Linked DNA regions of Oryzias latipes. The protein of the gene in region 4 interacts with the protein of the main gene of each other region in a pairwise test. Links are inferred from orthologs where the notes say so. Each region holds a gene or a part of one and is shown on either strand. Other genes may lie near its edges. The genes, in order: transcription factor AP-4, otud4, exosc10, exosc8, dusp23 and poldip3.

Region 1 (4,243 bases), on a different chromosome or scaffold from region 4:
GATCTCTCTGCGAATTCGCCTCTCTTGGTCCCGGGCTGTTTCTGGGGTCAGAGGAATGTTGGCCAGGCTGGAAGAAGGAATAAAGAACAAAGTTATTAATTGATATTGAAAGTTTTAAAAAATGTATAAAAAAAAGCCAGGATGGACTATTGTAAGGCTATTCATTGTATTTAATATCATCAATCAACTTTGATGAAAAATGTTGTGTGCATGAGTTGTTTTAGTTTTTAAATACCACCTAAACTTCATTTCAGATCTGAGGAGTAGTACTGAAAATTGTCGGAAAGGCCTTCCAGACCTTACCCAAGCGTGTCGTAACCCTTGTGCTATCCTAGGCACTTTAACGTTGGGAGTTGGGTCATCTAGACCCACTAGACAGTGCGCTGAACCTTTTTTCTTCAATGGTTTGTGATCTTCCCTGGTTTCCGTGGATTGCATTAAATCTCTCCACCTTTATCCACCTTTGTCATGGTAGGGAGAACATGTCAATGTAAGGGTGGGGTCATCTAAGGTAGCACAAGGGTTAAAGCAGCAAACATGTTGAAATCATGTGGATCGTGTCTTTCCAGGGAGGTCCGACATACAGCTTTGGGCATTCAAATAGGGTCATGCAAAGTTGATTAAACAGTTAAACTGTGGAGAAAAATCCTCCAATCCCACAAAGAAAGGATTGGAACGGTTTGAATGAAATATTCTAATTCCTCTATTAACCAACCTCAGGGACTATATTCTGCTGCACTCTTATCTGCAGTGACTCAGCTGCCTCAATGCAAACACAGGGAACAATTGTACGCACACAGATGTAAAAAACTGTATTTGAGTATGCTAAGTGTGCAACGATACAAACACATGCAGGAGTCCTGCACCAGCACATCCAATTAATTAATTCAGTCAGAACGAGAGAAAAAAAACTGGGCTTAGACACGTGTGATGGTAAAATTAGAGAAAAGTTTCAATGTACCAAACAAAGGGTCATAAAAGATACAATTTATATTACTTTTATTAAAAAAATGAAACACTTTTGAAAAAATGTGTTAAATTTGTCACAAGATGACTACTTTCGGAAATTTTTGTGACCAAATAGTGATACCAGTCAGGGCAGTATTCAAATGTAATTAAACTTTATTTATTTATTTTATCTAAAAAACGAAAATATTTAGGAAAAATTCAAGGAAAGGATAAAGACTACAGTTTGGTGCTTTGAAATACCCTTTGTAATTACAAATGTTGAGATAACATTAATAGTCAAAACCCACCGCATCATTGTTCAAGTACAAATGGCACAAATTATAAATATAACGTGTATAAATTTATCCCCCCCCCCCCCCCCCGGTCTTTTGGCAAATCTCCGCACGGGTACTTCACGGATTGAAAATAAAAGACTCCATTACCCACAATTCCCGCGCTCTGCCAGCAACAGCTAAAGATCCCTCCGCCTCCCTCTACACACTGGGCTGCGGACGTATCGACGGGCCTTCCGCGACATACACACCCCCTTATTAATAACACCAGTTTTAATTTTCATGCCTCCCCGCGAACGACAAATGCCCTTTGCCGGACGCATGTGGGGGGAAATCTGTCTTTGAAGGCCTTCAATAGTGCCCGTTCTCAGGAATGTTCCCCACAACCTCCCGCTCCGAGCAGACTTTTCTTGTCCTCCGCCATTACAACAATGCGGCAGGCAGCATGGCAGAGGTAGTTACGGGATGAAAAAAGACGCAGTGGAGGCAGCGAACAGGACGCGCTGCTACACAAACTCAATCACCACCTATTAAAGTAACAAGGCCGTAACAAGAATTGCCAATTTGCACTAAAAGAGCGGGCAGTAGTCTAGGAATCATAACGATACCAACGGCAAACCCTTCACTTTTAGCTGAAGCCACAAGCATGGCCGCACTACCCACAATAACTTCGGCTTGCTTGGAGCGAAACTGGCAACCGCCACGACGAGGGCGTCGTAAATCAGCACTTTCCGACAACAATGCGGTCGCTGGTCCAATATCTCGTGTTTGTAGGATACACCAGCACATTTAGGCGGCACTAAAAGATTATTAGAGGGTAAATAAATAGTTGAGGGATGCGCTCTAGAGGGGAGTAGCAGCGTGGTGTGCACGAACCACGTGGTTAATGTTTGTTAGCTACAAAATACTTCGATTTCAGTGGTAAACGCGCAAAATTATTCCACATAAGGGACACTTAAATCAGGGCGAGAACCTCCAGGTGTCCGGCGAGATGATAATCCCTGCTTTTGAAACACATTCACCCCCTCGTGTCCCCGGGAGAGGGTCGTATACACAATAACACATCAGATCAGGCACGTTGCCCAGCCCTAACAACATGGCTAAGTGCGCGCACTATCTTCACGCGTACAAAAAAATAAATAATTTGAAGCGCATGTGTACACACCTGCAGAGACCACCAATCACCTCCTTCTCCGTTTTCCGAAAATGTTGCAGCGAGGGCACCTTCTGAGCTGGTACCATGAAATACTCCATGCTCCCTTCTCGCCAGTTTGGTCCCCCCCTCCCCCGGTAAAAAATAAAATAAAATTATATAGTATCCTTTGAAAAAAAAAAGCAAAACGCTGGGAAGAAAAAATAGTCCCCCGCCGGTATAGTCAAAAGACAAATCCCTGGTCGGACTGATACACTTCTTTGAGGTTGCTGAGAGTTGTAATGTTACTCGACTTCCAGCTGATGGGGTTCCCTCGTTGTGTGTGTGGCGCTCTACATCTCTTTTTCTCGCTCCCTCCCCCTTGCTTTCTCCCCCTGCATGGCCGTGTGTGTAGATGTGTGTGTGCGCGCAGCTGATCGGATGGCTTTCAAGGCGGGAAACAGCTGGTAGGAGTCACACACCGCACTAGAAAAAAAAGCTCCTTCCGCAGAGAGGGGGGACTGCGTGTAAACAAAGGACTATTTATCGCACTAACGCCGCGTGAAGAACGCACGCGCGTTATGAAAAATGAATAAACGTTGTTTTAATAGACTAATAGATACATCATATTTATGACTAAATGCTTTCATGGACATTTGTTTTTCTTTTTACACGTTTTTCTTTTTCCACGGTTTAAATCCTTTAGAGGAAATTAAATTTTGGTGAAATAAGTTTGATCTTTTCATAATTACTCATTAATGTGCGGTAGAAATGACTTTGAGTGTCACCTGCGCCCTGATTACGCCGTTAGAGCGGGACCACGCAGGGGCGGACACTCGAACAGCTGCGATAATCGAACAACAGAGATCAGCTGACGAGCTGGCGGCGCCGCGCGCGGCAGGGGGAGGGGTTTCGGGGGACAAGCCGGCGGCACACGCAGCACACGCATGTACTTCACCATTTTGGCTGCGAAGAGTCATTAAAATCTAATTGAGCGAATGTGTGTGTGTGATGCAGCGGCGCGCCCTCGGCGCAGGCTCAAGATGGGAGCTGAGAATTTCGAGCGGCATCCGGAAACGTGAACGCAGCAGCAGCTGCTGCAGAAATACGAAGGCGTTTACGTCAGAGAAGGACTTTCAGGCATAATAATGTAGGAAAGGCACCCTTAATGGTATTAATAAAAACATAGAAAACACAGTAAATGTTTTATTCTTCGAGAAATTTGACTCAGAATAATAAAAAGTAATTTCTGTAATCAAAACTAAGAAGGTAAAATAATTAAAAAAAAGGAAGAAATTCGATAAACTGTTAGGTTACATGGTGCCTCACGAGATTTGTAGCTTTTATAGAATTCTAAACACATCAGTCTTATATCACACATCAACATGAATCTTTTTTGTGGGTAAGATGAAAAAGAATGAACATAGGTCAGCTGCAGGGTGCATGGATAATGTTTACACTTAAATAAAGGCAAACACATTTTAAAATCCGTAAACCATTTATAAGTACAGTTTAGTGAAGATAGTCACAACATGACTATCCTGCCAAGATTTAAATTACTACTACTACTACTATTAATAATAATAATAACAATGTAATTCTACCTTTAAAGAGACGTTCTGATGATGTTATGATGTTCTGTCATCCAAATCTTTGCAATATGAATAAAGATGTGTTTTTCAACTTTTAAGTTGCTTTTCATTTCCTCATTAAAGATAGTCTTTCTGGAGAAAGCAATAATAGAATAGAATATCTTCATTTCTACAGCCCTTCTCACAGAAATAATCACAAAGGTAGTAAATATTAACAAGGCCTGCTAAAAGTACTACTGAATGAAAAGTTAAAAACATAGTAAAACAAGGACCATAGT
Region 2 (4,080 bases), on a different chromosome or scaffold from region 4:
CTCTGTGGCAGATTTCCCACCACTTTCCCCCCCGACGCTCGCGGTTTCCTCTGCGCTGACCCAAAAAGAGGAGCATGGAGTAAAACCTGCTGCTGGTTTCAGTCCCTGCTGGTTTGCAGGCGTGTAAACATAAATCAAGTGGGAAACTAAAGTCAACACAACCAATCAAAGCCCGAATGAGAGCGCTGCAGGTGTGGAACATCAGGAACCAATGAGAGCCCTGCAGATGTGGAACATCAGGACCCGATGTTTTTACATCAACCTTCAGTCCGTCACAGCATCAACATCTGAACCCAACGGGACACAAGACGGAAATGCAAACGAGATGAAGACCCCTAAACTTAAACAGTTGGTAGAGCACCGCCCCCTTGTGGTGAGAAGAGGAGCCTACAGCCTCTCCCAGCATTTTTCTGCTTCAAAATGCTCCACAAGGCTCCCCGATGAAAGCAGCAGCAGACCAGAGGTCACGTCCCAGACAATGTCAGCCAACACCCAGACGGTCTGCCTCACAGCGCCACGAACGCTCGGCAGCCAAAATCAATGCTGCTGCGGCGCACAGAGGTGATGAGGATGAGGATGAGAAGGCTTACTGGCCCTTTGATGGAAACAAGACCAATAAGAACCAAAAGGAAATTTCTTGATGCTTAACTTTTACTCTTTTTTTTTAATTATCAGACATTTGTCTGCTGGATGAGACTTAAGGCTCATGGTGACACGTTTGAAAACGTTGAAAGGGAAGAAAAAAAGACTAAATATATTTGTAATTTTTCCAAAAAAAACAGACAGAAAAAAAGAAGGGAAATGAACTTTGAATTAAAACTTTAGATCCATTTATTATTATTAGTAGTAGTAAAAGTAATAGCTGTGATAGAAGTAAAAAATTATTTTTTAATGATTTGGTGTTTCTGCTTTTCTGTGTTTTGACTTTAAGTGACATGTTTAGTAAATCAAGGAAACTAAGTCAATACATTTTAATATAACAGACTTTAAGAGGTTACAACACACCCAAGGTCGCTCTTTAAAGTTAATTTTCACGTTTTTCATTCGTTTTTCTTACTGTTTGCATGTTTTTATGATCCCTTCTTGTTGATGCACCTCTCACCATCCTGTGAGGGGTCACCACGGCGAATCAGCTTTCATGGATTCGCACAGGGGAGAGATTTTACGCCGGATGCCCTGCACGCCTATTTTTGAGACTTTTATTTTGGTAAGCGTCACCGGATGTTTCAGAGTTGTGAAGTGGTTTTACTTTAAACTCATTTCAAAAGCTGTTGCATTCTAAATTGAGTGGTTATTTTTTATAGAATTACAAAATCGGACGTTATTTTTCTTATTTTTTTGAACAAAATCTTTTTAAGTGTTTATTTTATGTGATATTCTTCGCTGGTTGGGCTTTTATTTCGTGGATAAACCGGAAGTTGGGCGTGTCACTGCGCAGTGCTTTACTCGGCAGAGCAAAAAGGGGGCGTGTCGTTAGCCGTTAGCCCCCCCGATGCTAACCTCGCAGCATTAAGTTTCACTTTCTGCTGGTCGGGAAAACCCGCAGTTCGAAACGCCGCTTCCTCGGAAACGAAACCTGCGGCGGTCGGAGTCGCGTTTGACCGCTTCCGCCTCCCAAATGTCCGCCTTGGAGCTCGCGCAGCGGCCACATTCGGAGCTTTGAGCCCGCGGCGCGTGAAAGTTTTGCCCCGCCGGCGCAGGCGGCGTCGTTCAGCCGCTAGCTTCGGCGGCTAACCCCGCTAGCATGGAGAGCTGCGGAAACATGTCGAGCAGCGAGGAGAGGAGTGTGGAGAAATCCATGGATGTCTACCTGAAGTCGATCGGTCTGCACCGGAAAAAGATCGCCAAAGACGGCTCGTGCCTGTTCCGGGCTGTGGCGGAGCAGGTAAAGTTTGGAAAAATAAAACTAGTTTGGCTAAATAATAATAATAGCAGCTGGAATTGTTATGCTAACAATATGAAGAAACGTCCACTGGAACTTGAAACACTGACGTTTATGTACTTTTTTGTAATAATGTTTGCGGCAGTAAAACGTATTTTAAGCCGTGAAAATGACGCCTGTCTTCCTGTGACCTTTGACCCCGTCCAGGTGCTGCACTGCCAGAGCCTCCACCGTGAGGTTCGAGCTAAATGCGTGGACTTCCTGAAGCAGAACAGAGACAGCTATGAGGCGGTACGTGACCCGCAGCCCCCCAGGCTGCTGCTGGGCTTTGGTTTAGCCGAGTGTGACGTCACAGCTACTGACAGTGAAGGAAAAAACACTGTAAATTTAAAAAACAACTACAGACTTTTAAGACAGCTTTGAACTGTAAAGTGCAGATTGTAAACTGAAATAATTCGCACCATAAGTTCCCTCCTCTGACGCCGTCGTCGTGGTGATGATGCTCTCCCAAAGTTTGGGACATCAGACGGCGGAGGATGCAGGCGGCGCCGCCATGTCCATTATGTTCTAGTAGCCAATGGGCTCAAAGCCCCGCCCCCACGTCAACTGAGGATCAACTCCCAAAATTCAGAACTAAATTGAGGATAAAAAAATACAAAGCAACAGATGTTATTGAAAAAAAACAGTTTTTTTAAATCTAGTAACACTTTTAGGTTCATTCTTGGTTTTTTCTGTTCAAGTATTTCATTACTTTTACATTTTCACAAGTTTACCACGTTGAGTTTAAAAATGTTTTTAAATGTAAATAAAAATCTATTTTTGATCACTTTTGACCCCAAAGCTGAATCCTGCAGTAAAACGGCATAAATGCACATTTTAGCCTCCAAGAATGTGTCTAGAATGAAAAATATGCAGTTATGAATTCACAATAATATTTGTGACCATCAGGTCTGTTTCCCTCTGACTGTCTGATGTTTACTTTTCCTCAAATATTGAAAAACAGGAAAGAAAGAAAATAAAAGTGTTAGTGACACAATATAAAAGAAGAAAAATGAACAAATATACCAGAATAAAGTCAGACATGAAAAAAATCAAAATGTTACTAAAATAAAGCTAAAGAGGGTCATAAAATCAAAGGTCTAATTTTATAAGAATAAATGCATAAAATGATGAGAGTAAAGCAGTGACTTGATGCTTCATTAGTCATCGTTTTTCAGGGAAAAAGTCGTTCTTTTTTTTAAAATAAAATGTTTTGTTAATGATCATTAAACCTGTTTAGTTTATGTACGGCTGAATCAGCTTCTCGTTTCTGTCAAATTCCTTTTAATAACTATATATTTTTAAAGTGTTACTTTTTCTTGTAGAATTCAGTCTTGTTAATTTAATACATTTACGATTTTATTCTCGTAAAGGTTTTACCGTATCTCATATACTTATAAAAAGTTGTTCTTGTTAAATTTAGCTTTTTTCAATTTTTTCCCTATAATTTTATGATCTTATTCTCATCACATTTTGAATTATTTCTTATCATTTTGCTACTTTGGTTTGATGATATTTTGACTTTTATTCATATATTTTTTATGACTTTATTTCTATAATTTAACAACTTTAAGGACAAACGTTGGCATTTTTTAAAATTAATTTTGGGATTTTGTTCTCATCAAACGTTGACTATTTTCTTTTATAATATTATAATTTTTTCCCCTAATTTACCAACTTTATTTTCATAAATCTAATAAATTTTCTGTTTTAAAAAACTTTAGACATTTTCCTTTAACTTTACACATTTATTGCTGTTAAATGTTGACATTTTTTATGTTGTTTTTGGTTTTATTGTCATATTTTCATTTTCTTCTCTGGTGGCCCAAAAACTCCGTCACAGCATTTTCAGATCTCACGTTTTTCACTTTGAAATGATGCCGCTAAACGCCTCACATGAAATAAAAATGATTCTTCTGTCTGACGATCCAAATGTATCATAATTAGAGACGGAGAGCATCAGGAAGTCATTGAGAACGGCGGTAAAAAGCCTATCGTTGAGTTTTAAACCGTTTAAAGGAAAAGAAAGTCCAAATCTTCTGGTTTAGGAGTCTTGAATAAAAGTTTTCTGGTTCTGAAAACCTCCTCAGTACATTTCTGCTGTTTGCAAAGATCCTTAAACGTTTGTTAAAGTTGTTTTTGATTGGATGTCAGCCTGA
Region 3 (3,500 bases), on a different chromosome or scaffold from region 4:
ACACAAGTGGACCATAGAGAAACATTTAAAATGTTAGAAAACTCTTCCAGACCACAAATTTCAGGTGGGAATTCGGGTTTTCTGATTTTTTTTGTTTTTTTTATTTGTTAAATGCTGCTTAGCCAAGTTTGTTTCATCGTAATGGGTTAATTTTTTAAAAAATATTTTCGTTTGTGCATCTGTAAAACACTCAGAACAGTCACTGTGAATAAAACGTTTTGGAAAAAAAAAATCAGGCTGTTATTCTCTTCCTAATCTAATTCGGAAGCTTTGTGAGCTACATCTCACCTTTGAGGTTTGCCTTCATGTAACAGGTGGCAAAACCAACAACAAGGACAACAAAACAAGTGCTGCCTGTGAACAGATTTCTGAGCTATTAGTGAATCTGTGTTTTTGAAAAACCAGCCATGAGAGCCGAACGGCAAAGAGGTGCTAGCTGAAAGTACTAGTGTGCTAACAGCCAATATTTGCAAGTGGCTGACAGGTGGCACACTGTATGTACCCTGGTTGTTATAATTTACAAGCTTTATTGGTTCTTTTGGGTAGTTTTAATTAGGTAGCCTTGACAAGGGAGCCGGTGATTCAGACAATCTGTACAGCCGAGTCGGCTGCATCCATGTTTTTTCATAATGTTGGTCAACCTTCCATTCTGTTCTTATTTTGGCTTGTTTTTTTAACTAAATCATCTACACTTCTTTCTCTTTTAGGACACAGGTATTCTTGAAAGCACTAAATAAAATTGGTCCCGTCTTCTGCTGGCGTCCATCACATACGTCATCGGCTATGGCCCTTCTTTGGTTTCCTAGATGAGTGTTTTTCAGCCAGTGTGCCGCGGTACACATGTATGCCATGAAAGATCATCATGTATGCAATGGGAAGTTATCTAATTTCACCTAAATCAGTGTAAAAAGCATTCACTATTGCAATGACATCAGCTCTGTGTTCATCAAACTTTCAGGCTTCAACAGAGTTTTAGTGTCACAAAAACAAAAAAAATAACATTACGAGATTTGAAGTAAAATATTTAAATATTTTGTGGGAACAAATTCCTACTGTGTGGGAACAAATTATTATTTTGTGGGAAAAAAAATATTTTTTTTTACCCATGTCAGGTGACTTATTAGCAAATCAAACGAAGGTTTTTTCTGAGTTTTAGTTTATATCACACCGAAAAAAAACTGCAATTTAAAAATCGAGGTTTGAACCTTTGGGAAAGTGAATCGATGCATCCTTACTGAACGCTGCCGCAGACGGAAGTGAGTGTGTGTCTGGACCAGTATTTTTCAACTTTTTCGAGCAAAGGCACACTTTATCCTTGACAAAAAATCCCGCGGCACACCAGCATCCAAAATTGAAAAATGGAGAAACTCTATAGTCTGTTTGATGTACAGTTTCTCTGCAATCTCATATGCACTGTTGTGATAATTGTGGCAGAAAAAGCTGGAAGTTGCAGCTGTTTCTTCTAAAAGATGTAATAAAAGTTAAGTTAGTTTTCAGTAATTATTTTGAACTAAATTATTTGAAAATTTACCCTGGTAGTTGTTTTTCCCTTCAGTTTACTGACATGCAATTTTAATTAACCCCACAAAAAACGAAATATATTCTTTCTAAATAGTGATTTAGAAAGAATGACATATAAAATAATCCAGACCTCATTAGAAAAGTGTTTCAGTTAGAAAGATGACTTGGACCAAACTCTGGGATGTTTGGATGTTAATAAACACAAACCTTGAAGGAGAACTAAACTGTTGACCTCTGATTTCATCAAGAAGATTTAAAAACGGTTTGATGTGGGTTCGTTGTGGTTTCAAGACGTTTAACAGGGAGGACTCACTGAGACGCTGTCACTTTAACCCAATGCATCATGGGAGGTGTAGTGTGAAACAGACGCCGATCGCAGACACTCTCTGAGCTTCATTGTTTTGTTCACTTGCTCCACGGTCTGACAGCAGATCGTGCAGAAAGCTACACCGCTTAAGATGAGCTTTAGCTGGTATTTTTGTTGGAACTGAGAGACTTTATGAGCTAAATCGGGACAAGGAAGTCTGGACTTTAACCACTTCTGATTGGTCAGACTGATGACGTATGATTAAGCCTCCAAGAATGATTGGTGGAGACAGTTAAAGGGGTGGGACTTTTCCGAAAACAGAGCTGAAGCTACGGCTAAATCACGGTACCGTCATTCTTAGCAAAATGTCTTTAAAAGAATCAAATAAACACAAAGTAAAAGTCTTTTACGATCTTTCACATTCCTAACTACTCAGTTTTATCAGGGCCTGTTTGGATGAACACAGAGCTGATATCCTGGAGATGGGAAATGTTTTTAGATCAGTTAATGGGTAGTTTCCCACGGCACACCTGACCATCTCCCACGGCACACTGGTTGAAAAACACTGGTCTGGACAGTAACACCTGTGACATTCAAGTGCAGCTGCCAAATTTTCTGATTTATGACCACCAGGATTATCTGTAGCAGTTGGACAAAAAGCTTTGCTCTGTGGTAAAAGGCTTAACTGAAGTGTTAAACTGGAAAGAAAAGAAATCAGAAAAGTTTAATATGACAGCGGGGGTGCGAGTAACTAACTAAAAGGAAGCCAAGTAATACCCCCTGAGGAATGGAACTAGCAGCAGGAGGCTGCTAGTTCCTAGAAAAGAGGCTTTGTTACTCAAGAGGAACAAAAATGTGTCCAATGAATCTGAGACACTTTTATAACACCCAGCCCACATGCTGTACATTTTTCCTCCTCTATAGGATAGAATATTTAACATGGCCCCCATTCTGTGTTTCTGCAGACCCGTTCATCTGATGGGGACTCACTGTCTTGGGAAAATATAAAGTATCACACAGAGTTAAAGTAGTCATAAACCTACTGTCCTTTCAACGCTGTTGCGGGCCCTTGAGTGAATCCAGCTAAAAGAATATGCCATGCCTTCCAACACAGACCTGAGGTGCTTGTCTGAAGTTCAAAAGAACAAAATGAACGGAGAAACGAGGAAATGTAAAAAGACTTACTGCTGCCTGCTGACGCACAGTGGCAACATTCTGAAGAGACTCCTGGTAGCTTTGTTTAGTCTTCGTTCTTTTCTCTGAGAGAATTCAACAGATAAAAAGTGAGGAAACAATGCTTGAAAAGGTAATGTGTAGAAAAGAAAAGCCAATTACCTGAGGCTTTCTTTGCCTGTTGCTTTGCTTCCTCTTTGGCTTTTTGCTTAGCCTCTAACTCTTTTTGCTGCTGTTCAATGCTCTGCAGTTTCCACCTTTTGCTGATCTGTCAGGGTGCCAAAGTAAGCAAAGCACATTAAAAACAACAGCGGTCAATATATTTCACAAAAAAGCTCTTCAGGTACCTCAAATATTTTGGAGGATGGGTCAAACTTGGCATTCTTGTTGACATGCACATCGGTGGAAGGTAAATACTGGAATAAGAAGCAATAAATTATTATTCTGCCAAAGCACAAATAAAGAATTGTGAAGGTTAAGCTCTTGACATTTCCTACCA
Region 4 (4,063 bases):
TTCTGCCTTTTTATTGTTTGTTTTACTCCGATTAAGGAGCTGTATTTACATAATAATTTCCCCCTCCATTGTATATTAATATTTCTATTTTGATATGACACGTTTAAATAAAAGAAAATGCAGCCATCATGCATACATACACACACACCCACACACACACACACAGAAACCATGGAGTACTAGTACATACATGTGAAAATCGCTATCTTACACGTGCTAAGAAGTTAGTTACATTACTAACAATGTTAAAACTATCCATACACTTACCACAATGAAACCAAGAGCCGCTAATGCGACGAGAACTTGAATAATTTCACAGATAAAGTCCATCATGTTTCCATAAGTCGCCCTACAGCTCCTAACTAACACCTACACCTGGCTGGCTGTAGCTAGCTTTTCTTCTTTGTCCCGTTCCGTATCCCAACCCTCTAACTTATAACAAAGGTGTAAACGAAAATATATGAAATATAAACACTGAATCTCTATGAGCCCATAACGCTTTCAAGCTCCACTTCCAATCAGAGCTGTACACAAAAGCAACACGGAAGTAAATTTTACTCCTCGACACATCATCAGTTTGAAGCAGAACTCCACATGACAGGCTGCGAGAAATGCATACTGCCACTTACAGGCGTGGGGTGGTACTGACACTAGCAGGTTTTTAGTTTGTTTGTTTGAACAACCAAACAACAGGTTTTGTTTTTCATGCATATATTTTATGATCATTGCTAACCCTAACGTTTGAAGCAGCAATGTCAAAGTCTGAAAGACAAAAAAAGAAAAGACTAACCAACAACTATAACTAAAAACTGAAAAAGAAAAATAATTAGATTAAAAATTGTCAAGCCTGTAAAAAAGGGTTAATGCAGTTTTATCATTTCTTTATGGTTTAATGTAGTTTAAAACCAAATTAATACAGGTGTTAACAAAATGAATATAATAGAAATAATATTTATATTAATATCTTTTTAAGATGACACAAAATCAACAAGACAGTAGTAATGAAATAAATAAATCCCCAAATACGAGAACAGTTTAAAACTTGAAGGAAAATCTGGAAGAAAAAAAACAAAAAACAATAAAACATGAATGGTAAATTATTAAAAGCTTAAAGTAGCACTTTCTTTATTAGTTACTTATATTTTTGGAAATTGGATTTGGGTACGCCAAAAAAATAATACAGTAAAAAGCGGATCTTTATCGTCCCTAAATTAAAAGAAGAAGAAGAAAAAAGTGTTCAGGTTCAGCACAGCATGGACGAGGTTTTTTCCCCATTGCGGCTGCCGTAGCACAAACCCACGTGTTGTACCAAAACATCATGGCGGCTGGATTCAAGTCAGTATCTGAAAGTTGTTCAGGTTTTATGTAATTTACGGCGTTTTTTTCGTTTAAATTAACTTTTTAACTTTACATAAAGAAAATGAATTATTTGCTGTACTTTAAATCAAAGTGGAGAAATCACAAAGTCTAGGTTATGTCCGTTAGTAAATTGGGTTTCTATTTATTGCCGCTAAGAATTTATTTTTTATTTTATCAACATAACACTAAACGTACGTGATTTTGTACATGCATTTACCTTTTCTGTCTTCCCTCATGACTGTTTAGGACCGCTGAACCTCTGGAATATCATATGAGCTTTCTGGTTTGTCCAATTTTTTATTTATGTATTTTTTTATTAGATTGTCAAAATATGGCACACACACACATTCACATAACTACAACAGAAAGAAATAAAAAGGAAAAAAACGTTAAAATTGTAGTTCACAATACTAGGGATTGCCATACAACATGTGATCTTCAATAAAAATGGACAGTTTTATTGCGTTTTTGTTTTTCATTAATTTCAGGGAGTTGAAACATAAACAAATCTCTTAATGAAATGTATTAAATGGTTTGCTTTTTAAAAATCTGCTGTTATGAATTAAGAACTTTCCAGAAATTAATATTTCAACTTTACTGTAACGCTGTAATGTTACACTCATATCAATTTGAATCTAAAACTTTATTTATTTTCCCCATAGAAAGAGAACTGTCGACCAGATGGACGCGAGCTGTCTGAATTCAGAACCACGACATTGAATATAGGTGAATTGAAGCACCACAAAGTTGCAGTGTTTATGATACAAGCAAACAACAATCATTGAGCACTTTTCTCTTTTGGGTTTGTGTTCAGGGTCCATATCCACGGCAGACGGCTCTGCATTGGTGAAGCTGGGAAGCACAACAGTCATCTGTGGCATCAAAGCTGTGTGTTAACATGTTATTACACTGAAACTCACTCTTAATAATTTATTCCAGATGCCTTTGTTTTAAAAGGTGTACAGTTAAAAAATAAAACAGATCTATGTGAATATTTCTTAACCCCCCACCACTTCTTTCAGTGTTTGTACATTTAGCAAGTTGTTTCCTGTGTCATACATTGATCTATTCTGCAGGAATTGGCAAACCCTACAGTGGAAGCTCCTGGTAAAGGATATATTGGTAAGTTTTTATAGATAAAAATAGTTAAAGATACTTTATCGATGCCAACTTGTTAAATTTGTAGCAGTAGTGTGCAGACCTTAGCTTGTACAGAGAAGCAACTATCAAAAATCAATGATGAATGCAGCGTATCTCTGGCACAAAGATGAGTTAAACAGTCCTATGTCGTGGAACAGGAATGAGCTCCTTTAGCAGTCATCGTAGCAGCACTTGGAAAGGCACTCAACTGTCCATCCAGTACGGCAGGCAGAGGATGCTCAGGATTATCCATGATGGATACGAGTTTGTTCTATTTTTAGCTTCAAGGGTTGTCACTGAAAAGCACAAGTTTTTAAGTGGAAAAATAATCCCAATCATTGGACTTTTCCTGTTATTTATAGTCCCCAATGTAGACCTACCACCCCTCTGTTCCTCGCGATTTCGGCCAGGCCCGCCAGGAGAACAGGCCCAAGCTTCCAGCCAGTTTATCGCTGATGTCATCGAAAGGTTTGTCAGAATTAAAAACACTACAATCTCTTTACTCTCATCAGTTTATCTGCATTTCTCCCAATGGTTTTCACCAACTTCCATCCACCTTTGCAGCTCTGAAATAATCAAACCAGAGGACTTGTGCATCGACAGAGGAAAGGTAAATCCAGACTGATGCCGTTTGTTTTCACTGTTGGTTCACTAGCGGTGAGTCTATTTATCCTCTTTGCAGCTTTGCTGGGTGCTGTACTGTGACATCATGTGTCTGGATTATGATGGAAACATTCTGGATGCGTGCATCATTGCTCTGCTGGCTGCACTGAAGAACAGTACGTCATTGTTTCAGTAAAAAAAAAAAAAAAATAATTAAAGTTATTCTGTACATTTTAACCAACTAATCCGTGTTTTAAAATTGAAAATTGCCCCGAAAGGAGTCTATCAACAGGCTGATTTTGCATTTTTCACTTCCCACAGCTCGTCTCCCAAAGGTCACCGTCAACAAAGCGACATGCAAACCAGAGATAGATTTGAAAGAGCGACACGAGCTGCCGGTTCACAAACATCCAGTCGGCACCTCGTTTTGTATCTTCCAGGAGTACGTTTTAGATATTGTTGCATTTTCTGGGTTTGTTGAAAGCATGTGTACAAACCAAGCGTGCTCTTTGTGCAGCTCCATCCTGATTGTAGATCCCACCGCTGATGAGGAGAGTCTGTCCACATCGCGGCTCAGCGTGGTCACAGATGAGGAGGAACGACTCTGCTCTCTACACAAACCAGGTCAGACAGGCCGTGCAGTGCGCTTCCGGCGATCAACACAATAACTCCAATCATACGGAGCTGAAACCCGGTTCTTTGCGCCTCAGGTGGGACGTCCCTGTCAGCAGAAAAGCTCCAAACTTGCATCAACCGAGCAACAGCACGACAAAGAGAGATCCAGAAACTCATCGAGAAAGTTCTAAACAGCGTGAAGGCAGCACAATAAAGACACCCAGACCAAGACTTTTATCTAAAAGCTGTATTTTCACTGTCAATATATATGTTCTTTTTTTTTTAATAACAATAAAACTGCTGACAAAGACTGCTTAAAAAATTATTTCTCAATATTCAGAAACCT
Region 5 (4,020 bases), on a different chromosome or scaffold from region 4:
GCTGAGGAAGCAGCAGAGGCTCCTGGCGGTGGAGCGGCTGCAGCAGGAAGTGGAGGAACTTCAGAAGAAGGAGCAGCGGACATCCCAGGAGAACGACCGACTCCGCCGGCTCAGCCTGGAGCTGCAGTTCCAGAGGAGACTGCAGGAGGCTCAGAGAGGGGAGGAGGAGGAGGAGGAAGAGGAGGAGATCCTGAAGAACGGGACGTCACAGGTCCAGGTGAAGATGGTCAACCTTTGAGGGTTTTCTGGTCGTCTTCACTTCCAGACCAAAAAAATCATTAAGTCAATAAAAATGAACAATTTAGAGCCTAATTCCAGTTTGATGCAACAAAACCAAGGAAAGTTTTCAAATCTCTAACGTGTTTGAGTTTCCTTCATCATTATGTCAAAGAGCTTCAACATGGATTCTGTCTGATGGTTCACAGCAGAACGGTTCTGATCCAAACAAAGACTGCGAGCGGAACCGGGAGGAAAATCCTCCAAATGAAGACGAAGCGACGTCAGGTGAGAACGGTTTAATGGGAACCGGCTTCAGAAACATGAACAACGTTCTGGTGTTTCTCTCAGGAACTGGACTGAAACAGAACAGAACCAACGACCCGACACCAGCAGAGTGAGTCCATGGAAACATCAGCACCACTGATCCTGAGTAAAAAACATTTTTTCAAAATAAAATTCAAGTTTTGTTTTCAGGAAGGAGAGACTGTGGAGGAGCTCGGCCCCGGAGAAGCTCCCCTTCAGGGAGCGTCAGCGCCTCTTCTCCCCGCCGTCCAGCGCATGAGTCCAGAGACCACAGCAGACGGACGGCGTTCGCCGCCTCTGACAGGACGTCTGAAACCCCAAACCAGAGCTCCGGGTCGGATCACCTGTTCTCAGGGGGCCGTCCTTCATCGTAGAGGAGGTCACTTGATGCGCTGATAGAACTGGACCACCGCCTTCTCCTGCTCCGTGGTTTCGATGGACCCGGCTCTCATCCTGCGGATCTCGTTGATGGCGTCGATCCCAGAAATCTTGCGGCTCTTCACAAGGTAGCAGGCCAGCATGGTGCCGGTTCTGCCAAAGCCGTGCATGCAGTGGACGGCCACGCCCTGACGACCAAACACACAACCACTGAGCACGGCACACGCCCAGCTACGCTTTGTTTACACACATTAAACATTCGGGTTCCACCAGACGGAGGAAGGGAACGCCTTTATGCGGTCACAGAGAACGAAGAGACAGACAGGAACCTCCTTACCTCCTTCTTGGCGTTGGCCTCCTCCACGATGGACAGAAATCGATCGATCTGGGCCGGCGATGGAGGAGTGAAGTCGACGATCTTAATGTGGTGAAGCTGCAACTCTGGAAAGGCCTCGTGGTTGGGAGGTTTCCTCTCGCAGAGGCAGACCAGGTGTTTGATGCCGTTGTCTGAGAGATACCGGTAATCGCACGGCATCCGGGGCATGGCCAGCCCGGCCAGCCGCCCCGCTTCCACCCAGGAGAAGTTTTGAGGAGGAGACGAGGCCATGAGGCTGAGAGGAGGGAGGAGGAACCGAGAGGCAGCTGCAGGAAGCCGTCCGTGTCCGTGGTCGGCCTTTCCTTCAGCGCTTCCGGGAAATGATCCTGAACTGTTGGGAGGAATCTGCTGATAAACATTTGGACTTTGCTTTCCAGGCACACAATCTCAGCTCTGCCAGGTTTACAGAAAAAAGGAACACATTTTTGTGGAGATGTTTCCATTTTTCAAAGTTTAGGCCATAAAAGTCTGTTTATGACTGACAGTATCTTAAATCTGCAGAACTGCTGCTGTGAAGTATATGATAAAAGAATCAACAAAAATATTCGGAATAACCTAAAGAAGACATTTATAGGACTGTACCGGAAAATACATTAAGAAGAAAACTTAAATCTTACTGACTGTAAAACTGTTTTTAGAAGGTTGAAACAGTCAACTGCTGCCTCATTAAGCAAAATTAGTTCGTTTTTAAGTCAACAGACTGAGTTATGTTAAAAGTGTAATGGGATTTTTGTCTGTGTCCGCAGAATTTAACTTCTCAAATGGCATTATACAAAGAATAAATAACATTTTAAATCCACCTTTGATATAAAAATCATGAAACCCGATGAGAATGACTGGATAGCATGTAGCTAACAGTTAGCTTGTAAACTCGCTAGCATAAATCGCTGCTTGTGGAGGCTGACAGACATGAAGTCAGACAGAAAAACATCCTCATTTATTTAACAAACCTTAATTATGTTCTTTAAATGAAGTTACTTACAGCTGGAGTGAAGAAAAGTTGAGCTGCTAACCGCTGGGGAAGCTAGCTGTAAACCTCCGCCTCAGTGCAACAGCGGAGGGTTACCAAGAAAGTTTCCCGTCGAGACAGGTTCACACAGGTTAACCAGAGTGGGCAGTGCCCGTATGTTGGTTGCTATGGATACCATTATTATTTAAAGGCGTTGTACGATGACTTAGTACAGATTTAGAGATTTAGTCCGCCTGGAAACAACTTTTTACCATCACAGTACATCTAGTCTTTGAGCTTCATATTAGACGATCGCACCAAGGCTGTATAAGTCAGGATGGCCGAGCGGTCTAAGGCGCTGCGTTCAGGTCGCAGTCTCCCCTGGAGGCGTGGGTTCGAATCCCACTTCTGACATTACATTTTCTCCATATATGAAAACCTTTTTATAAATTCACTTCCGTCATTATTGACCTGAAATTTGATTTGTTTTTACCATTCAACTGTTACTATTAAAGAGGGTTTCATATGTGCTCAGAAAACCCACCAAGGAGCACATTCCCTGCACGTAATTCTTCTTTGACTGCATTATGAAGATTTCTACATTTTCTGTCTTTTGAATAAGCTTGTTTTTAAGCATAAACAATAAAATCATTTAAATTTCTAACACAGTTGAAAAGTATAGTGGACAGGTTCGATTCCCTCTTGTAATTACCTTCTTTTAATCCCTGCAAATAAGCTTTTGTGGGCTTTAAATGATTAGAATGTCATAAATGTATTCCTGAATTTTCCTTTGTATTGAAATTCCTTTTTCTATGGAGCCCCAAATTGTTCATAATTTAAAAGATAAAAGTGACCTCGTGCAATCACACAATCAACCAACAAACCCCTCATAAATTCATGAAAAGGTCATGAAATTGTGAAAAACCTGCACATATATTTTGAATTAGCCATTATATTTTTAAATTATTTCATTTTGCTTTAAAAACCTTGTCCTTATTTTAAAACAGCATTTTAAAACATTCATTTTTAACAAGGTCATATTTATTTTATTTTTATTATGAGCAATTTAGAGCTCCATACATAACAGACATGACCAGCAGATGGCAGCAAACGCATTTTTACCAAATATTCAGACTGATTTCATGAACATGTGTAGAAACATCTATGACAAAAGTTAAAACACAAAGTCTGTGGATTCCTGTGAAGAACATGAAGAAAAAAACCTGTACATGTTTAAAATAGAAGGAAATGTCTGCTTGTTGAAGCAAGAATCACCAACGTAAAGTAGCGACATTCCTTCCTCAGAAAAGTTTTCTCCTGCTGTGCAGCGACGCCGTTTTCCTCTGAAGGACGATCAAAAGGTCTTTTTCTCCTTCAACCTTCTCCACTTTTAACTTCCTGTTGCACATGTTTGACATGAAATGTAAGATTCTTGACTTTTCTTCCATCTCTTTGATCGTTAGACTTCTTAAGTTTTTCTCAGGTCATCAAGCTAAAATGTTAACATTTGATGACGTATATTTTTAGACAGAAGAAACTCGTTTTGGTTTTGTTTTTAGCCCACTTTAAGCTGCTTAAAGCACGAGGAGTGCTTTTTATAAATAACGTTTGATTTGATTTGCATTTTTCTGCAGCATTTGTAACTATTTTCATATTGATTCATGTTCTCAGTCGTATGCATCCTTTTTACATTTAGTACACAGAACGATTTCCTGTTTGTCTGGTTTGTTGATTGATTAATTGATTGATGGGTTTGATTTAAGAGGGGGTGGGAAGCCCATCTATAAAGCCCCAT
Region 6 (4,110 bases), on a different chromosome or scaffold from region 4:
ATCAGCAATGTCCCATAGTATCTACCTTTTCCAGTTTCTGTAAAGAAGAAAAAAAAAAAGGTTCCAGAAAAGTAAAAGTAATTTCCAGAAATCAAAATGAAATGTAAAAAAAAGAGGAAACCATTGAGTGATTTGTGGGAACCCCTGATGTCACTTTGCTTCAAATCTGCTCACGATCTAAACAACGGCCCCTCACCTGTATGGTCTTGGTAATTTTTAGAGGTGGAGCCATGGCTGATTGTGTCGGCGTTCCTCCAAGGCTCCTCTTGAGGCTCAGCCTGTCGCGAGCATCCATCACTCTCCCATTGTTGCTCAGCTGCGGTGCAGTGATGCCTCTTGCACTCAGTCCTTGTACAGCAGAGCTAAACTGCCGCGCATTGATGCCAGGAAAATGACTGACGGTTTGAATCTGTATGGGAGGAACCAGAGTTTTGCTCTGCAGCTGCTGTGAAATCACTGCTTTTAGCGTCGTTTGTGCAGGGATGCTGGAGAGCGTCTGCCCCTGCTTTCTGGATGTGATCATCTGCCGGGCGTCCTGCACAGCTGATGCACCTCCCCTGCCCTGAATTTTAAAACGGGCGTCTTTTTGGACAAGTTTTTCTCTGGCATCTTTTACTTGAAAACCTGGAATGAAAATGTTTGTTTTAGAGGATCTGGGAAAAAACATTTCATCCAAGAATCAAACATTAAGATGAGCTTTACCCTTTGTTGTTCCCACGCCAAGCCGCTGTCTCACATCACTTGTTCCAATGATTTGTCTGGCATCAAAATTTTTCCCATCCCCTCCTAAACCCCGTCCAAATGGAGGCCTGAGGACAAGATGAGCCATGTCAACAAACAGCACAACCTAGAAATGACAATCCCACACAAGTGTACTACATTTGTTTTGTATTTTATATTTTAAATAGTATCTTTATGTCAGATCCTGACTTTTATATATTATTTTAACCCCAATGACAATAAAGAAAGTTCAGATTCTGATTAACCGCAACAATAGGAAAATAAGGTTAGAATGAATAAGGACCAAAAAAAAATTTTTTCACCAAAAAAAAGGTTGTTTGCAAATAACGAGTGGGCAGGCTTCATCTGTTCTGCATCCCTTTACACATGACCATACGCCTGCTATATGTGCATATACACCAGAGGAAGAAACAGTTGCTACTAATTGGTGTGCAAGTGAATCGTGCCATATTACAAATAATTAGTAATAATATAGTAATAATTTTAATCTTTTGAAATTCGAAAATATTTCAAAAATACATTAGAAACCCTATAAATGTAATAAAATAAATCAAAACCAATTAAGCAATATTTTAGATTGATGACAACAACTAAAGTTAACTATTATATGGGATGTAAAAAAAAAGCTTTCTTTAAAATGGTCTATATTTGGCTCCAATCACTCTCCAATCATCTTTCCATCTATTGTAAAAGCCTTCCCAATCGTCTTTTAGTAACGATTATGTTGTAATTAGCCAAAATCAAATAACCTGTGTCATTTTCTGGGACATCCTTTTCTCCAGAGCAGCAGTAGTTTATTAGAAATTCCCCTATGAGTTGTGTTCTGGACTGTTGGCTGGAAGTAAGCCAGGCCCCACTTCCCATCATCAGCTTCTTTACACTCACTTCCACTAAGTTACAGCCTTTCACACACCCCGGTGTATCAAAAATGGTAAGCAAAATTGAAGCTACCCAGTCGTACAGTTTTGAGCCAGGAGCCAGCTTGGATGAAGATAAACGAAGACGTACATGGATGTAGTTGTCTACAAGTGGATGCATCAGAATGGAGCACAGCAGGGAGCTTGTGGCCCACTACGACACTGCAACAACCTTTGTTTGTCTGCTCCTGATTCACAACAATTTAAATATAAAAATCCTCATAAATGCAGCAACTTAAGCTTAATTTTCTTAATATATGTCCTTTATCATCAGATAAAATAAATACCACAAGAGAATGAAACACATCAGAAGAAAAAAATTCATTGGAGAAAGGAAAAGGGAATAACTTTTTAGACAAAAAGACATCACTGACCAAACTTACACGAAATACTAGTGGTTGGAAAAAAGCAATTGTGAAAGTAAAATTAATAGCTACTTTTATATATCTTTTGGCGTAAATTATTTCTATACGTTAGCCAAACCTTGCTAACGTGTCCGAGGCTACCCAGCTTAAAGCTACTTTACTTATTTACTTTGCTTGCGTAAGGCCATCCAGCACCAACTGAGCAATCAAACAACACGGATTTATACCTAGGAACCAGGTAAGTAAACAAGAGCCCATTCGTTAAACAGTACTGCATGCCTTAAGAGTTATGAGGAGAAACCCCGCTTCGCTATAAGCACAACTACTACCAAACTACACACATCCACCAAACATAAGAGCGAAACAATTCTTTTCATTTTTACGTTTTCTTATAACTACCAAAACTTAACAAGTGTTTTTTCTGGTTAAATAACCTCTAAGTTATTACCAAACGTGAGATTAACATCTTATTATCCGAAGGCCCACAGCAATAATGCTACTTTAGCTTAGCGTTCACGATGCGAGCTGGAGCTTTCGGTGCTCACTGGTCGACAAACAGCTTTCAATGTGCATGCTGCGTTTACACATTTCAATATTTGTTTAGTATCATAAACTTCTATTTTTTTCTTTACTTTAAAGTGTTTGTAGGTACCGTTTAACAGGAACTTTGAGGTTAATACCGCGCCGACGTATGACTTCATCCAAAGAAACGTCTGCCATCTTCTTCTTCTTGCTTGACTATGCGCATGCGCCACTTCAAGACAAAGTTGTCCGCAAGGAGTACTACGGGGAATGAGTTAGGCCAAAATTCATGCCAAATATTGTTTATAACATCAAAATTTCAAACTAAATTTAATTGTACTTAATGAAAACTTCCTTTATAATTTAGTGAATATATTTTAAGATACATTTTGCTGAAGTATAGTGTACAGGAAAGAACCTAAAGTACAAATACCTTAAGCACAAATCCCACACGCCCAAATAGTTTACCCACAAACCATTGCGCTGTTGCATTGAAATCCAATGCATGTGTATCTAAAGTTGTTCTTGACTACGGAATGTATTAGATCGTCGATCATATTGATGAGCTATTATTATATAACATTTTAAGTCGATGTTAAGTCTGTGTTTACATTGGTAGCATGAAAACCATGAGTGAGAGTTCTTTGGCACTGTGTCTATACTGCTGTGAGGACGTTGTCTCAGTATGCCTTAAACTGATGAGTAAGGAAAATAACGATGCGGGGTGACGCCCGTATCCTCGTTCACAATACGAGAGGAATTTTTGACGGGGCACAGGCCTGCCTGCTGAGGTGACTTGCTTACTTCGCGAGATGCCTCGTGGGACTGGGGTCTGCCCTACCCTTCCCCAAATGTAAAATATAACTACTCATATCACCCGACCCGGAACCCTATTAAACACATTATTTTCATAATTACTCAATACATGTACTTTAAATCGAAGATGCAGACACATTGATGATTCATGATAATTAACAATCCATCTAACACTGGAAATAGTTGAGGGAAATGGTAATTTTCTTTCAAGTTATGATTGTTTCATTTATTGACTTTCTTTTAACTAGTTTTAACTGGTTTACAATTTTTAATGTAAATCCATTTTTAAAAATGAGATTATGACGTATTCAATGTACCCCCCCCCCCAATTTTGTGTTTTTTGTAAAACAATTATTATCTCTGCCCGCACAATGCCTGCGAGGGTATTTAACTCAATTTCCCATGATGCACCGTGCTTGGAACAGATCAGATGTGCACAGCACAGTAGCTGCCTGTCACAGCTCCCTCGCAACGGAACCTGGCGGACAGGACAAATGGCAGCGGCTCTGTCCCGCGCCCTCAAACTGCCCGGTAAGATGATGCTGGACTCCAACGGATCGTCAGCAAAGCGGTCCGGTTACGTGTTTGAATGACAGACGCTAGGCGCGTGCCGCTTTTAGCTTTAAATCCATACAACCGACTTTTTGAATCCCCACGTCACGTTCTACCGAAATATCCCTCGTTTTTATGTCGTCATTCTATGATTCTACCATGAAGGTCAGTTTCTCGCGGGGGGGTTACCGGTCAGT

Evidence for each region.
Region 1: the proteins of exosc8 (region 4) and transcription factor AP-4 interact in binary tests that used the Homo sapiens proteins (3 or more experiments, as listed by UniProt). The two-hybrid records come from large-scale screens. The link is inferred for Oryzias latipes from reciprocal best matches to the Homo sapiens genes EXOSC8 and TFAP4.
Region 2: the proteins of exosc8 (region 4) and otud4 interact in binary tests that used the Homo sapiens proteins (3 or more experiments, as listed by UniProt). The two-hybrid records come from large-scale screens. The link is inferred for Oryzias latipes from reciprocal best matches to the Homo sapiens genes EXOSC8 and OTUD4.
Region 3: the proteins of exosc8 (region 4) and exosc10 interact in binary tests that used the Homo sapiens proteins (3 or more experiments, as listed by UniProt). The link is inferred for Oryzias latipes from reciprocal best matches to the Homo sapiens genes EXOSC8 and EXOSC10.
Region 5: the proteins of exosc8 (region 4) and dusp23 interact in binary tests that used the Homo sapiens proteins (3 or more experiments, as listed by UniProt). The two-hybrid records come from large-scale screens. The link is inferred for Oryzias latipes from reciprocal best matches to the Homo sapiens genes EXOSC8 and DUSP23.
Region 6: the proteins of exosc8 (region 4) and poldip3 interact in a two-hybrid assay, tested with the Homo sapiens proteins (2 studies listed by BioGRID). The link is inferred for Oryzias latipes from reciprocal best matches to the Homo sapiens genes EXOSC8 and POLDIP3.

Annotation. Positions count from the first base shown.
Region 1 is NC_019866.2:11,221,437-11,225,679, reverse strand, and holds the start of transcription factor AP-4, read right to left. Parts: upstream 2,801-4,243; 5' UTR 2,496-2,800; coding exon 2,407-2,495; intron 1,003-2,406; exon of another isoform or gene 716-1,002; intron 68-715; coding exon 1-67.
Region 2 is NC_019876.2:3,217,331-3,221,410, reverse strand, and holds the start of otud4 (OTU domain-containing protein 4), read left to right. Parts: upstream 1-1,280; 5' UTR 1,281-1,744; coding exon 1,745-1,885; intron 1,886-2,089; coding exon 2,090-2,173; intron 2,174-4,080.
Region 3 is NC_019865.2:9,473,456-9,476,955, reverse strand, and holds part of exosc10 (exosome component 10), read right to left. Parts: coding exon 3,499-3,500; intron 3,418-3,498; coding exon 3,349-3,417; intron 3,270-3,348; coding exon 3,164-3,269; intron 3,088-3,163; coding exon 3,014-3,087; intron 1-3,013. UniProt on the Homo sapiens protein: Catalytic component of the RNA exosome complex which has 3'->5' exoribonuclease activity and participates in a multitude of cellular RNA processing and degradation events.
Region 4 is NC_019872.2:10,272,755-10,276,817, forward strand, and holds exosc8 (exosome complex component RRP43), read left to right. Parts: upstream 1-1,263; 5' UTR 1,264-1,318; coding exon 1,319-1,335; intron 1,336-1,605; coding exon 1,606-1,642; intron 1,643-2,021; coding exon 2,022-2,085; intron 2,086-2,173; coding exon 2,174-2,247; intron 2,248-2,435; coding exon 2,436-2,481; intron 2,482-2,861; coding exon 2,862-2,967; intron 2,968-3,063; coding exon 3,064-3,109; intron 3,110-3,181; coding exon 3,182-3,278; intron 3,279-3,423; coding exon 3,424-3,544; intron 3,545-3,619; coding exon 3,620-3,726; intron 3,727-3,812; coding exon 3,813-3,931; 3' UTR 3,932-4,027; downstream 4,028-4,063. Other genes in the region: alg5 (dolichyl-phosphate beta-glucosyltransferase), read right to left, coding at 268-333. UniProt on the Homo sapiens protein: Non-catalytic component of the RNA exosome complex which has 3'->5' exoribonuclease activity and participates in a multitude of cellular RNA processing and degradation events.
Region 5 is NC_019880.2:1,140,717-1,144,736, forward strand, and holds dusp23 (dual specificity protein phosphatase 23), read right to left. Parts: upstream 2,533-4,020; 5' UTR 2,259-2,532; intron 1,670-2,258; 5' UTR 1,508-1,669; coding exon 1,238-1,507; intron 1,089-1,237; coding exon 903-1,088; 3' UTR 618-902; downstream 1-617. Other genes in the region: afadin, read left to right, coding at 1-217, 426-617. UniProt on the Homo sapiens protein: Protein phosphatase that mediates dephosphorylation of proteins phosphorylated on Tyr and Ser/Thr residues. In vitro, it can dephosphorylate p44-ERK1 (MAPK3) but not p54 SAPK-beta (MAPK10) in vitro. Able to enhance activation of JNK and p38 (MAPK14).
Region 6 is NC_019866.2:20,055,970-20,060,079, reverse strand, and holds the start of poldip3 (polymerase delta-interacting protein 3), read right to left. Parts: upstream 2,801-4,110; 5' UTR 2,744-2,800; coding exon 2,676-2,743; intron 810-2,675; coding exon 703-809; intron 625-702; coding exon 197-624; intron 1-196. Other genes in the region: protein FAM234B, read left to right, coding at 3,856-3,892. UniProt on the Homo sapiens protein: Is involved in regulation of translation. Is preferentially associated with CBC-bound spliced mRNA-protein complexes during the pioneer round of mRNA translation. Contributes to enhanced translational efficiency of spliced over nonspliced mRNAs.